2 linked regions of the Caenorhabditis elegans genome follow. The protein of the gene in region 2 purifies or fractionates together with the protein of the main gene of each other region. This does not show direct contact. Each region holds a gene or a part of one and is shown on either strand. Other genes may lie near its edges.

Region 1 (5,139 bases), on a different chromosome or scaffold from region 2:
AGATAATAAACGGAACGACGATTTTTAAACTAGCTAATGTACATTCGATTTTATCGAAAAGATGGACAAGACAAAGAAAAAGCAAAACTAGTTTTGTTTGCACCCGTACTTCTTGGATCTCAATAAGGAAACTATCGTCTCGTGGTGCCACCGTAACCAGAACTTGAGCGCATTGATGAAGTAGAAGGTGATGACCAGGAATCGGAACTTGAGAAGCCTGTGTCTTGGAAGAATCCTCTGTTGTATCGTGGACGGGCGTAGGCATTGTTATTGTTGAGGAAGCTGGATGCCAGGTATCCTCCAATGGCTCCTAGACTTGCTCCAGTCCAAAACGATCCACCATTGTTGGCGCCACTGCCACTTGCTCCTCCGCTAGAACTTCCCTGACTGAAAAACTTAATTTTAATGAAAATAAGGTCATTTTTATTTAAAATTCCTTACCATCCACCTCCAGATTGCGAGTCACCACGGAACCCATATGGCGGTGGCTTGGAGTAGTCGTCATATGGTGGAGGAGCACTTGGATAACCACCTGGACCACCACCTCCTCCGCCGGATCCTGGGCCTCCAGGACCTCCTGATCCACCAGAAGTGTAGCCAGAGCTTTCTGGGTTCTGATTTCTGTTAGTCCACATCGCGTAGATAATGTAGGCGATGAAGGCGACGACGACGAACGTGGCGAACTGATCCCATCGATCCTGGGATGACTTTCGAGAAACTGATCTGTTACCGCTCGCAGAATTGTACTCGAGCTCATACTCCAACCCGCAAGATCCTCTCAGGATGTATGGATCCTCTGCGTAATCGTATCCTTCACATGAAACACTGATCTGAAACAAGAAACATTTTTTGAAGCGAGATGGAAATATTTAAAAAACTAACGGATCCGAATTCCATATCATGTGGCAAATCTGCATCACATCTCCACTGCACATCCGAACCATCAAAACCTTGATTTGCACACTGAACCACCTTTGGGGTGAAGGCACCTTTCGCGGATCCACCGACACACTTCAACTGGAAGGTTGGAGAAACTCGTCGTCCTGTCGTCATTTTTCCTTTGTGTAGAGTAATTGCTGATACATCGCGAAGAAGAACTTTGTCAGAGGCCGCTGAAATTCATTTGTATTATTGAAACAAATAATCAAAAGAAAAACTTACCAGAAGTTTCGAAGAATACCACTGTGAACACCAGAAGCATCCATAAAAGGAAACTCGTTGTAAATCGAGAGATCATCTGAAAAAAGAAACTAACAATTAGGAATTTTGAACGAGTAATCAATAGAAAGTAGTATGAACATTGAAATAGTACCGGAAGATAAGAACGAAGCACCAGAGATTAATTTTGAAGCGTTGCAGTGAAAGGGAGAAAAGATGATAATGAAGAAAACGAATGATAGGATATGTGACGTGTAACAACACGGAATTTTCAGAAATTTCGAAATACTTGGATCATTTTTTTGCAAATCAAGAAAAAAGATAATACGAGAATAAGCGAGGAAAATCTATTGGATGGACACAATTTTACAGCAACGCCTTTGTTTGACATAATTTTTATTCAGAGTTGCGATTTTTATCAGATTTCGCTATAAACCAAGAAGAAAACACACAAATCTGGAAGGAAAACCTGAAAAGCTGTGTTGCCAGCTGGCGGATAAATCGAGAAGGGTGTTCGCACTTTAAAAACAATATCTTCTGTTAAAAAACAATAAAATAAATTAAGAAAAATAAATTGTTGCAAGCGCGCCCTATCGCATATGTTGAAGAGACTGTAGACGCAGACATATGGCCGTGACCGAAAACATTGTCTTTCGCGTCTCGATATTTCCAAAGTGAAAGGCCATGCGCCTTTAATTGCTGACAAATAAAATTCAAAAAAAGTTTTTTGTTTTGATTTTTGTGAGAGCGCGCTCGCCAAAAATGTTCATTTTAGCTATTCGAAATCCATTTTTGTTTTGATTGCTCCTACTCCTTCATTTTCTTTCTTCTTCACTCATTTCTCGTCTCAATTTTTAATGTATCGAGAATTTCTCAGGATGACTGCTCAAGACTACCTCAACGGAAAGCTGGCGGCTGCCAATGGACCTCTGGCCGATGACTGGAAGAATCTCAAGGAGCTCTGGGAGAAAAAGTAAGAATCAATTGTTTTTGTAGACACAAACTATTTCACTAATTTTCAGGCTCTGGCATCAACTAACGGTTCTGACACGATCCCTTGTGAAGAAGCCACAATTTGTGGCTTCAACGGACATGCACGAATTCTACAGACTGTTCGTGGCGGAGTGGGAGCTGCGTGTCAACCCTCTTCAGCTCGTCGAGATTTGCATTTCGATCGCCCAAAATATCGCGACAAAGGACAAGCAAAAATCTATGGAATTCCTGTCAAAAATTGGAAACGTCATCAACAAGGACAAGATTGCCGTTGCTCGACTTCATACCGGAGAGATTGAAGCCAGACTGGAGAACAAGGACAAAAATGGACAGATTATTGATCTGAAGAGCATTCGAACTCAAATCGATTCGACACAACACGAAGTGGACTCACTTGTCGGAGTTACAGAAGTTCATGCCCCGTTCTACCGCGTCTCATCTTTATATCTTCGTGAAGTTGGAGACTTCGCTGGATATTATCGCGAAGCTCTTCGTTATCTTGGAGTTGAGGACGCCAATAATCTGACAACAGAACAGAAGCAAGTCCATGCGGTTCTTCTCGGTTTCGCTGCTCTTCTGGGAGAAAACGTGCACAACTTCGGAGAATTGGTTTGTTGAAACTCTCAATTTAAATTCCCCCAATAAACGGTTTTTTCAGCTTGCTCACCCCATCCTCAAATCGCTCGAAGGAACTCGTGAACGCTGGATCGTGGACGTGCTTCTTGCCTTCAATTCGGGAGATTTGACGCGCTTCTTCTCGCTCGAAGGAGATTGGGGAGGCTGGGACGATTTGAAGAAGCAAAAGGATTTCCTGACTGCCAAAATCCGTCTGATGGCTGTCATGGAACTTGCAGTCTCTCGTCCAACCAAAGCCAGAAGCGTTTCATTCAAAGAAATCGCCACGAAGTGCCAGATCCCATTCGACGAAGTTGAGTTCTTGGTGATGAAGGCGTTGAGCAAGGATCTCATTCGTGGAGATATCAATCAAGTTGAGCAAGTTGTCTACGTGACATGGGTGCAGCCAAGAGTTTTAGATAATCCTCAGGTATAAGAATTGATTATAAGTTTTTAAAATACTTATTTTCTTTTTTTCAGATAATGCAAATGGCGACTCGCATTTCCGCATGGAGGAACGATGTCAACTCCATGGAAGGAATCGTCAGCAAAGAGGCACGCGAGATTCTCACTCAAAATTAAATCATCTCATTTCTTTAATTTATTTTCTCCATGCTCCCCCATCCCAATCCCGGAATCCTCTATTTTTATAATTACACTGCTACGTGTATTCTACAATTTCAAGATCGTTCAGTCTTCTTTCTGTGTGTATTTATTTGAATTCATAAATTAATCGACTGTGAATATATTGAATTTTCTCGATGTCAGATGTGACTAACACCGTGTCAATAGTTCACTAGTACTTTTCAATACTTAACATTCGGGTTCTCTTCGTCTTCGAGTAATGTAGTACTGTGATTGTTCCAGCCATGGTTGATCTTTCAAAAAACGACGGAGGCAGTGGAAAAGCCGGAAAAGGTGTGAGTGATGCCATCGATACAGTCCTCTACTACGTTGTTGATCTGAAAAAGCAGCAGCCGATGGTCCAGCTGGGTGTTGGTGCTGGATTCGGGACAGTGACTGGATATTTTGTCACCAAGGTATTTAAAATTGGTGGTTCTAGAGAAATATTTAATTTTTAAATATTTTCAGGGAGGACGTCTTGTTGCTGCCACAGTGGGAATCTCTTTCCTGTTGGCTCAATTCGCTATTCACAAAGGATACATCACGCTGAACGAATCAAAAATCGAACGAGACATGAAAAATCTACACAAGTCCGTCATGAACAAGTAAGCTTGAATTTTACGAAAAAAAAATAGAATAAAACGAAAATCGTATATTATTCAATTTTTCAGAGTATCCGGCAAGAAAGTTATCAACATTTCCGATTCATTTGTCTCCGAATACCGGTGGATTCTTGGCGGATTCGCAGCTGGGATGCTGATTGGATTTAGCGTCGCCTAAATGTGGAAAATTGTGAAGCTTCAGTTGGTTTTTATCTACGATCTGTACTATTTATAATCGAGTTGCTCGATATGATGCATAAATAACTTTTTCTCACTCTCCATTGTCTAGTCATGCTGTCTATTTTTTTCTTCACATTGACTGATAAATTATACACCCTTACCTTCTCATCTTTTAATTCTTGCAAAACTTATGGTTTATTCCATAACTTTTCTCTTTTTGAACTCGATTTTGTGCTGAAAATTTTTTGAAACGTAAGTTTGCAACGACACTCCGTAGTTACGCGGCCCGTATGACGCGTAGTTTATTTTTAAGGCCTTTTTTCTCTAGTTTCATCATTTCCGTGCGCCACCTGCCTATTTAACCGTCATTTCCCCAACTATAGTTTAGTTTTCAGATAAAATTACATCATGGGCTCTTCACAATCGACGCCAAAGGTGAGTTTTCTATAATTTCAGTTAAAAGAAAACACGTATGAATTTATTTTCAGGTGCAAGATGCCAACGCCGATGCTGAGAGAATTCGTAAGGCTCAACACAGCATGGCTGCTGCTGGAGGAGGATCTCAATGCCCATTAACACCTGAACAGAGAGCTGCTGCATCTGGAGAGAATTGTGGAGCTGGTGGCGCTTGCCCGGTTGGTGCTGACAAGGCTTCTATCAATCCACTCAACAATGTGAGTTCAAAATAGAGTTTTCTGAAGCCAACTTTGAAAATTCAGGAGCTCGAACATCCAAATCAAAAGCCAGCCCCAGATCAGCCATTCGCACTTCCAACGAAACGAGAGAAGTCTACAATCCCGAAAGCTGGAACAGAAACTGAAACCTGGACCTATCCAAGTCCCCAAATGTTCTGGAACGCCATGCTGAAGTGAGTTTTTGATTGATAAATGTTTATTGTTGATTTTAAATTTGAATTTCAGAAAAGGATGGAGATGGCAAGATGACTCGCTGAGCAAAAGCGACATGG
Region 2 (7,827 bases):
TATTATTTTTTTTTCGTTGTTATCAATTCGTTGTTATCAAGACACAGGAAAAGAAAACAATGAAATTGAGCGTTCTCCTCCTCCAAACGTTGGGTCTCGTTTCACAAAACCGCGAATTGAAAGGTTTTCAATTTTTTTTTTTGAATTTATAGCTTTACCTAACGAGACCCAACGTTTATGGGCGTTTCCATTTGGCCGCGGGGCGCTCTTGCATCTTGATTTTTTTTTGCGTTCTCTTCCTTTGAAGTCTAGATTCGAATCATGCAAAAATATATAACATTCGATTTTATTTTCCGGGCCATTACAGTAACCCATATTCAAAGGCGCATGCTATTTTTCCGAATAACCATATTCTCAAATCTTTCAGCCATTTGAGACACCGACAGTTCTAAACATTACAACATTTTCTGAAGAGACATTATCCACTGAAGAGTACGCACAAGCTTTTGAATTAGCCGTCAAGTACGTCTTCTGCGATTATTTTTCCGCATTATTTTATTTTCAGGAACGATCAATTGGTTTTGCCAACTGGTGTCAGCAGGTTTGTGATGGGAAGTGAGGGGTCTGAAATTTCCTAATTTTTCCCTGTGGGTCCCGCCACGATTCACAACGAAAAATTCTGAGAGTGCGTACTGCGAAATATATTTGACGCACAAAATATTTTGTAGCGAAAGCTACAATTATTCGAATGACTACTGTAGCGCTTGTTTCGATTTACGGCAGGCTCGATTTTTTAAATGATTTGAAATTATTGATTTATCGATAGAATTTTTTAATGAGAAAATAATACAAAGAAACGAAGGAAAATGGAATAACGCTGTCACTTTTCGAAAATAAATTCGTTTCAAAAATTGAGCCCGTAAATCGACACAAACGGTACGGTATTTTAAGAGTTACTGTAATTTTCTCTGCGAGATATCTTGCGCGTCAAATAAGTTGTGCAATACGCATTCTCAGGATTTGCTTTTCCTGTAATAAAATAAATGCTGTATTTAGTATAATTCGCATTGATATAATATTGATCTGTGCGCAAAATACCTACCAATATTTTCGGTGTGAATCGTGGTGAGACCCTGTGCTCGACCTCGGCCCTGTTCTCTCATAATATAAAACAAGTTTCTATCGATCTTTCAGAAATGTTACAATTTTCAGTGAGACGATAAGAAGATATGTGGCGTCCACTGCAAGAAGAGATTCAAATGATGAATCGACAGTTTATCTGCTTCGTCACTCTTAAAATTTCCTTATTATCCTAATTTTGAGTTCATATTGTTTCAGAATAATGAATAGACACTTTTAAATAAAACCCCTGTTTTGAATTCCCGCGTTGTGTTTGAGACGAGAGTGTCTCTATAGAAGAGACGACAGACGGTTTACAAAATTTTTTTAAATCAAAAGTGCATTTCTCGTGAAAACAGTTTTATTTTCTCAATTTAAAATTCAATAATAGTGAAAATTAACTTTGTTAAAAAAATATACTTTTTACAGATTTAATGATTCGTTTAGCAGTAATTCGATTAGCCCAAGGTGCCTCTCGAGCTCAATTCCTTCAAAAACAAGCTCAAATCTTTACTTCTGCAGTTGTAAATGCTAAGAAAAAAGCGGACAATAAGAAAAAGGTTGGAATAAGTCATTTAGATTTATATTAAAAGTTATATTTCAGAATCCACCAGCAGTTTTCTCGAATTTGGAGGAAAACGCAGTCGTCCAGGAAACAATAAAAGAAATTCAAAGAGTTGAAGGATTACTTGTCGAAGAGCTCACAAGACATTTTTCTCTTAAAGTTAGTTTTTTAAAAGAATTGATCAAAGTAAAATAATTATTTCCAGGTAGATATTCGGCAATATGAAGATGTCATGGTCAAGCTTGAAAATGGAAAGGATAAGCCACTGTCCATGATTGCCAGAGTCACATTAAAATCTCCACTTATGATTATGATCAACTTCCAGGATAATCCATCTGCAATTAAAGCAGCAAAATTGGCGATTCAGGTACCATCTTGCCGTCCTTTTCATATTTTCCTTTGTTTATTTCAGAAATCAACTCTTAATGTAACTCCACAACAGGAGGGAGCTGTTTTGTATGTGAATGTGCCGCCGATGAGTAAAGAAAGAAGAGAGAAAATGGCATCTGATGCGAAGGGACGAATTCTCAATGAATACAAAAAGGCGATCAACGAAATCTATTCCAAAAGTGATAAGAAGTCGTCGAATGAGTTTTCCACGAGACCAGATGAAGCCAAGAAAACACGGGAAGCACTATTGAATATGAAGCACGCTGCTGAACAAAGAGGAGGTCTACTCATCGAAGAACGCCGCAAACAGCTGCTGAAACAAGTCGTTTAATTGTTATCTATCTTTTCAATTGCTCAATTTTAGATAGAATAAAATATGATGGAAAATACATTCGAATGTGTCAATAAATTAAAACGGAAGAAAACTGGGAGAAAAGTCACAAAAAAGGTTGCAGGAGAGAAGTGTAATAACCGGTGAAAAATATATTCCGGGGCCAGAAATTTAGAAAAGAACATCATCCAATTTGCGGTATCCCTTCTTATCGATGATCACCACTTTGTATCCCGGAATGTTGGCGACGAAACGTCTCTTAGCCTCTCCGATGCACTTGTTCATCAAAGCGAGTCCTTCAGCCTCAGTCATGTCTGAAAATCATTCAGTAAAGTTGGGAACATTAATTTAAACTTAATTAAAACTTACCTTTTTTGTATTCACGATCCATAATGGCATAGCAGAAGCGTCCGCAGAATCCTCGGAACAAGTACGGCTGAATAATAATTCTTTATTTTGACTAAAAGATAATAAATTGCTGAATACCTGTTGCCCGAGTCCATTAGCCAAGTAATCAACAGATCCTAGGAAAGCCTTGTCCTCCTTGTCATCATATCCTCCAATCAGAACATCGACAGTGTAGTGATCTTGCGAGCGGAGACCTTCGGCGATACTGCGCCGAACGAAGTGATGAGCACATGATGGTGAAACCTCGTAACCATTTCTGACCGAGTACAACTGAAGATTTCTCTTGGTCCAGTCTCCGAACTGTGCGACGTCTCCTTCCTCTCCGATGCACATCATTGTCAACTTCTTTCCCAGTCTATATTCCTTGTCGTTTTCTAAAATATAAATTTGAATATTTTTTGCATCCCGGATTCTCAGCCTTACCGCTGTCAGCGAGAATAGCGCCATAAGCGAAAGTGGCTTTGTCTGCGGCCAAAATCACGTAGTTTTCGGTGGAAATTCCCACCAAGAAGTGCATACCAGCCATCTCGTCTGAAAATAAGAATAATAAAATAATAAAATTCAACTTTCAGTGAGAAAAAAGGAAAGAAAAGCGACTTCGAATGCGGTTGAAACTTCAAAATTGCAAAAATGATGATTTCTGCATCTTGTCGTAATATTCGGTGTGCGCGCCCAATGCGCACTATTTGACGACGAATGTGTATACGGTAGGTGCTTTTAGAAGAAAAAGAGCTCTTTGGGAAAAGCTCGAGCTGGATCGACAGAAATAAAATCTTGAAAAGGCATGAAAACAAAGGTTTTTTAGAAGAATAGAAAACTTTCAGATTTTTTAACAATTATTCAGTCATTATTTTATATACTTTTTCAGTTAAAAACTTTCCCGATTGAATAATAAATTTATTATTAATAAAAATTTCCCTCATCATTAAATCAAGGTGCCAAGTGCATCAAGTGGTTGTGTAAATAATTAAAATCCCATATCGCAGCTTTTTGCAGGTCATTACTCTTTTCCGCGCACGCTTTGCTCGGCCGATTATCCGCTCATTATCGAACCGATTTTCTCGTCATAAATGAGCCGATCCTTAGACCACCACCATCTGCTCTTCGAATTCGTTCTCACTTATTCATTCATTCTTCGGGTGGTGCTGGTGGTTCGGCGCAGATGTCGTTATTACGAGAAAAGAAGTGCTCGAGCTATCCGGAGAGGAGGCGGATTTGTGTCTCCGAGATAATTAATCATTGTCTTCTCCGGGAAAAGTGGAGGCAAACCATCGTTCGGATTACACCATTCCAAACCGCACTCTTCGAGGCCACCCTGGTGTGTTTATAAACAAAGAACTCCTCTATTAAAGAGTCGCCGATACAATTTCATGGTCACCAGGTCATGTTGTTCCGAGGCAAGATGACACTTCATTTGCCACCTATTCATGAATCTTCTTGTGGTTTTCCGCAATTTATCCTGTTCTTTTCTAGCTTTCTACGTGTACAGGAAACTGCAATTTTACAGCGAGTAGTTTGTCTAAAATTGTGCATCGAGGTCCTGGCTCGAGCGAAACTTATCAACTACAGTACCCGCATTTTGAAAATAAGTAAGGTTTTAACAGTTAAATCAAAATATCTAAATACTGGCGGGGTACGATATTTGAAAAGTTTCGGTCGTGTCAGGACCCTGAAAGAAAAACAGTAAGCTACAACTTTTTTTGTTATTACCTGAAGATAAGATAATCACTCCCACACGTGGTGTCAGGCTGTCTCATTGCGGTTTGATCTACGAAAAATGCGGGAATATTTTCCCAGAAAAATTGTGACGTCAGCACACTCCTAACCATGCGAAATCAAATGAGATGTCTGCGTCACTTCTCCCGCATTTTTTCGAAGATCAAAGCAAAATGGGACTTTTTGACTCCACGTGCTCCCACCCTTCTGAAACAATTTAATGGCGCCACCAATAGAGAAATTATTTCAAGCTTTCCTTTAGTGATAAAATGAGCAAAAAATCATAGTGAAAAATATGGAGAACTCTTTGAAAAAAGTTTTTATTCAAAAAGTGACAATTACTACATAAATTTTGGAAGTCGACCAAAAATTGTAGGAGTTAAAAATACAGCATTCTCGAAAATATTCAGAAATTCCGCTATTTTTTAAATTTGGCAAGTTACCAAAACTTTAGCTGAAAATTTGGAAGTTATTGAAAATTTTTGGAATATCATTTCTGGGTCATTAACGTGTGTGTGCCAGGGGTTTGCGGCAATTGCCGTTCGGCAAATCGGCAAATTGCCGGTTTACCGTTTCTTTAGATATTTTCATAGAATTAGCTAACTTTTCAAAATAGATGTAGGAATATTCATAGGATGCGTACAATTTTGCCGATTAAAATTGAAATTCTGAAATTTCCAAAAAAAAATGTGCAAAACCACAATTTGCCGAAAATTTTCGGCAATTACCGTTTTTACGCCAAATTCGGCAAATCTGCCAGCTTGTCGATTTGCTGGAAATTTCCCATTCCACCAATTTGCCGATTTGCCGACTTGCCAAAAAAAATTGTTTGCCGCCAACTTCTGGTGTGTATAGACTACTTCCCTCCTCAAAATATGTACATCTCCAATTTTAAACCAAATTGTCGGAGCCGGAAAATTCGAGAATCGGCAAATTTTTCGGCAATCATCTTGCCCTAGAAGGTCTCGCCACGCTCTTTCCACTGCTTGGCTTCTTACTCACTTCAGAAGTCAACACGAGCTCCGTACTCAACCCATGTTTCACAATGTAATATTCAATTCACTGTGCTCATTCCACTTGCATTCTGCTGCTAAATTAGCATTCTCCCCTTTTCTTTTCTTTTTCCTTTCTTGTTGTTGTTTCTTCAAACAATTTTCAAACCCACTGCTTCCCATCGATTCTCTCTTCAATTTCTCTGCGTCTTCAGGCATAAGTAGTCGTTGCTCAAAAGAGAGAGAGCTCATGAATTCGTTTCCCATGCTCTTCTTCTTGTCGTTGAAACATTCACATACACACACATGTTAATCTGATATCCCTTCTTACGACTTCTGGTTTTGGTTTCTTTTTCAATTATTTTTTGGAAAGGATATAGATATATGTTTGTATGCTTTTTATGGGGAAAAGTTTACCTAGATTTGTTTGCTTTTAATTTCATTTCCCAATTCTTTCTCTTTTAGGTTTTTTAAAAAATCGAAGCGGTCTAGGCATAAGAAATTTCTTGCCTAGACTTGGGTGATTCGTTTTGTTTTTATGGAAGAGTTTGCCTAGAATCGACAAGTTGCCAGAATTGAAATTTTTGATGAATTGCCGGTATTGAGAATTTCAACTCAAATCGGCAAAATTGTACGTATCCTAGGAATGCTCCTACATCTATTTTGAAAAGTAAGCAAATTCGAAAATATCTAAAGAAAACGGGCAAATTAATTTTAAAAAGGCACAGTTTTAAGTGTTTCCGTCTCTAAAAACTTCCAGCAAATTGATGTTCGGCAAATCGGCAATTCGGCGAATTGGCAAATTAAATTTTCCAGCAAATCGGCAAACCGGCAATTCGCCGATTTAAAAACTATTAGAGGTGCAAAACTAATAGAGGCGCCTTACTAATAGAGAATATACGGTATTCGATATTGCATCTAATGTTTAGCTCATCCCAAATTGCTATAAAAATCGCTGAAAGGCTCAAAAATATACCCCCGTCCCTTTATTGGCAATTTCGCTTAATTTACGTGTACCGTTACACTTTCCGAAAATTCCTACAAGTCCATTCAAAAAATCCAGATTCTTCCACCCTTTTGTAGTTTTTTTCAGATGGCCTAGAAAAAATAATGAATTTCAAATTTCTGCCGGCCACGAAACCTGTAACAATTTTTGTGTACTTTCTCCCAAACAACCATTCTAAAATGCTCTAAGCCTCGAATTGCGTAGTCGTTTCTCACTTCTTGTTTGCCCACGCAATTTCTGTATGCTTTTCGATTCTTCTCCCCCTCCCGTTACCACCTTGTTCTTCTTCCATGTTTCCTGGTTGTTCACTTGTCACTTTTTTTCTCCCGGTATTCAACAAAAAGCACATTTTAAGATCGAAAGATGAGCGAAGAAGATGAGTTGTCTCAGCTGAGATCGAACGCCGAAAACTTGTCCAGATGTCTTCATGTTTTATTGGAAAAAATCGAGAATATCGAGAAGAAGAATGGAAAGGAGCAGGATGCGGATAGCACAAAGGTGAGTTTTGAAAAAATATTTTAAACTTGTAGGAACCATAAGCTTGACAAATTTTTCATATTAAGTATTGCCAGCGTTCAAAAATCCCAATGTTTGCAATTTACCAAAATTTTGGAAAATCTAAAATTCTTTACAATGAGGTGGAGTGGCGGCTATAAAAATATTTTGAAATAGCCCATAATGCTGAATTTGTTTCAAATATAATAGTAAAACTTTCAAAAAAAATTGAAATTTTTTTGAATAAAGTGGCAAACTATATGGAAATCGGCCAGAAAAAACTGTTTTTTGCTTAATGTTAGCAACACGCCAACATTCTGAAAATTCTGAAAGTTTTAAAATTTAATTTTTTAATTTTTCAGAGCAACGGCACCTCTTCCTCAAACAAAGACGGGAAGGAAAAGTTCGAGCAAGTGGAGATTGAGGAGAAAACTGAAATCGATCCGAAAACCGGGCTGAAAAAAAGAACAATCGTAACTGAAAGAGTTCTGACAACGAAGACATTTCATGCTCTCGCACTTGATGGACCATCTCCAACCATGACACCAATTCTAAGATCATCTGGAACCAAAAATCATAATTATGCACCAATTCATCAATCAGCAATTCTTCTTCCACAGTATCAATCAAGAAAGACTACTGTAGATGCTGGGCAACTGACACAAGTAAGTATATTTAAATTAAAAATTATAAAAATTATAATATCATTTAAAGTGGAATATAGTTAGTGGTGGTAAATGTACATATAAAATAGTTTAAAAAATTGTCCAAATATCATAGATAAACTTATCGAAAAGTTTGAAATTTATCACCGTATACCTAACTTTGAAACTCTTGGTTTATTTTAAAAATATCAATCAATATA

The links. The genes of interacting proteins can lie anywhere in the genome.
Region 1: the proteins of pbs-4 (region 2) and rpn-9 fractionate together in Caenorhabditis elegans (co-fractionation; one large-scale study listed by BioGRID). This does not show direct contact.

What each region holds. Positions count from the first base shown.
Region 1 is NC_003280.10:11,235,816-11,240,954, reverse strand, and holds rpn-9 (26S proteasome non-ATPase regulatory subunit 13), read left to right. Parts: upstream 1-2,035; 5' UTR 2,036-2,036; coding exon 2,037-2,131; intron 2,132-2,180; coding exon 2,181-2,760; intron 2,761-2,809; coding exon 2,810-3,196; intron 3,197-3,246; coding exon 3,247-3,348; 3' UTR 3,349-3,508; downstream 3,509-5,139. Other genes in the region: T06D8.9 (Store-operated calcium entry-associated regulatory factor), read right to left, coding at 132-387, 442-830, 883-1,112, 1,162-1,237; FUN14 domain-containing protein fndc-1, read left to right, coding at 3,636-3,806, 3,859-3,995, 4,062-4,170; cchl-1 (putative holocytochrome-c-type synthase), read left to right, coding at 4,581-4,607, 4,661-4,846, 4,892-5,040, 5,093-5,139.
Region 2 is NC_003279.8:3,904,204-3,912,030, reverse strand, and holds pbs-4 (Proteasome subunit beta type-2), read right to left. Parts: upstream 3,285-7,827; 5' UTR 3,280-3,284; coding exon 3,177-3,279; intron 3,128-3,176; coding exon 2,832-3,127; intron 2,782-2,831; coding exon 2,715-2,781; intron 2,660-2,714; coding exon 2,517-2,659; 3' UTR 2,346-2,516; downstream 1-2,345. Other genes in the region: T20F5.8 (TPA-induced transmembrane protein), read left to right, coding at 368-462, 506-541, 1,153-1,237; mrrf-1 (Ribosome-recycling factor, mitochondrial), read left to right, coding at 1,494-1,619, 1,664-1,783, 1,830-1,991, 2,037-2,345; magu-3 (Guanylate kinase-like domain-containing protein), read left to right, coding at 6,831-6,965, 7,325-7,627. UniProt on the Caenorhabditis elegans protein: Non-catalytic component of the proteasome, a multicatalytic proteinase complex which is characterized by its ability to cleave peptides with Arg, Phe, Tyr, Leu, and Glu adjacent to the leaving group at neutral or slightly basic pH.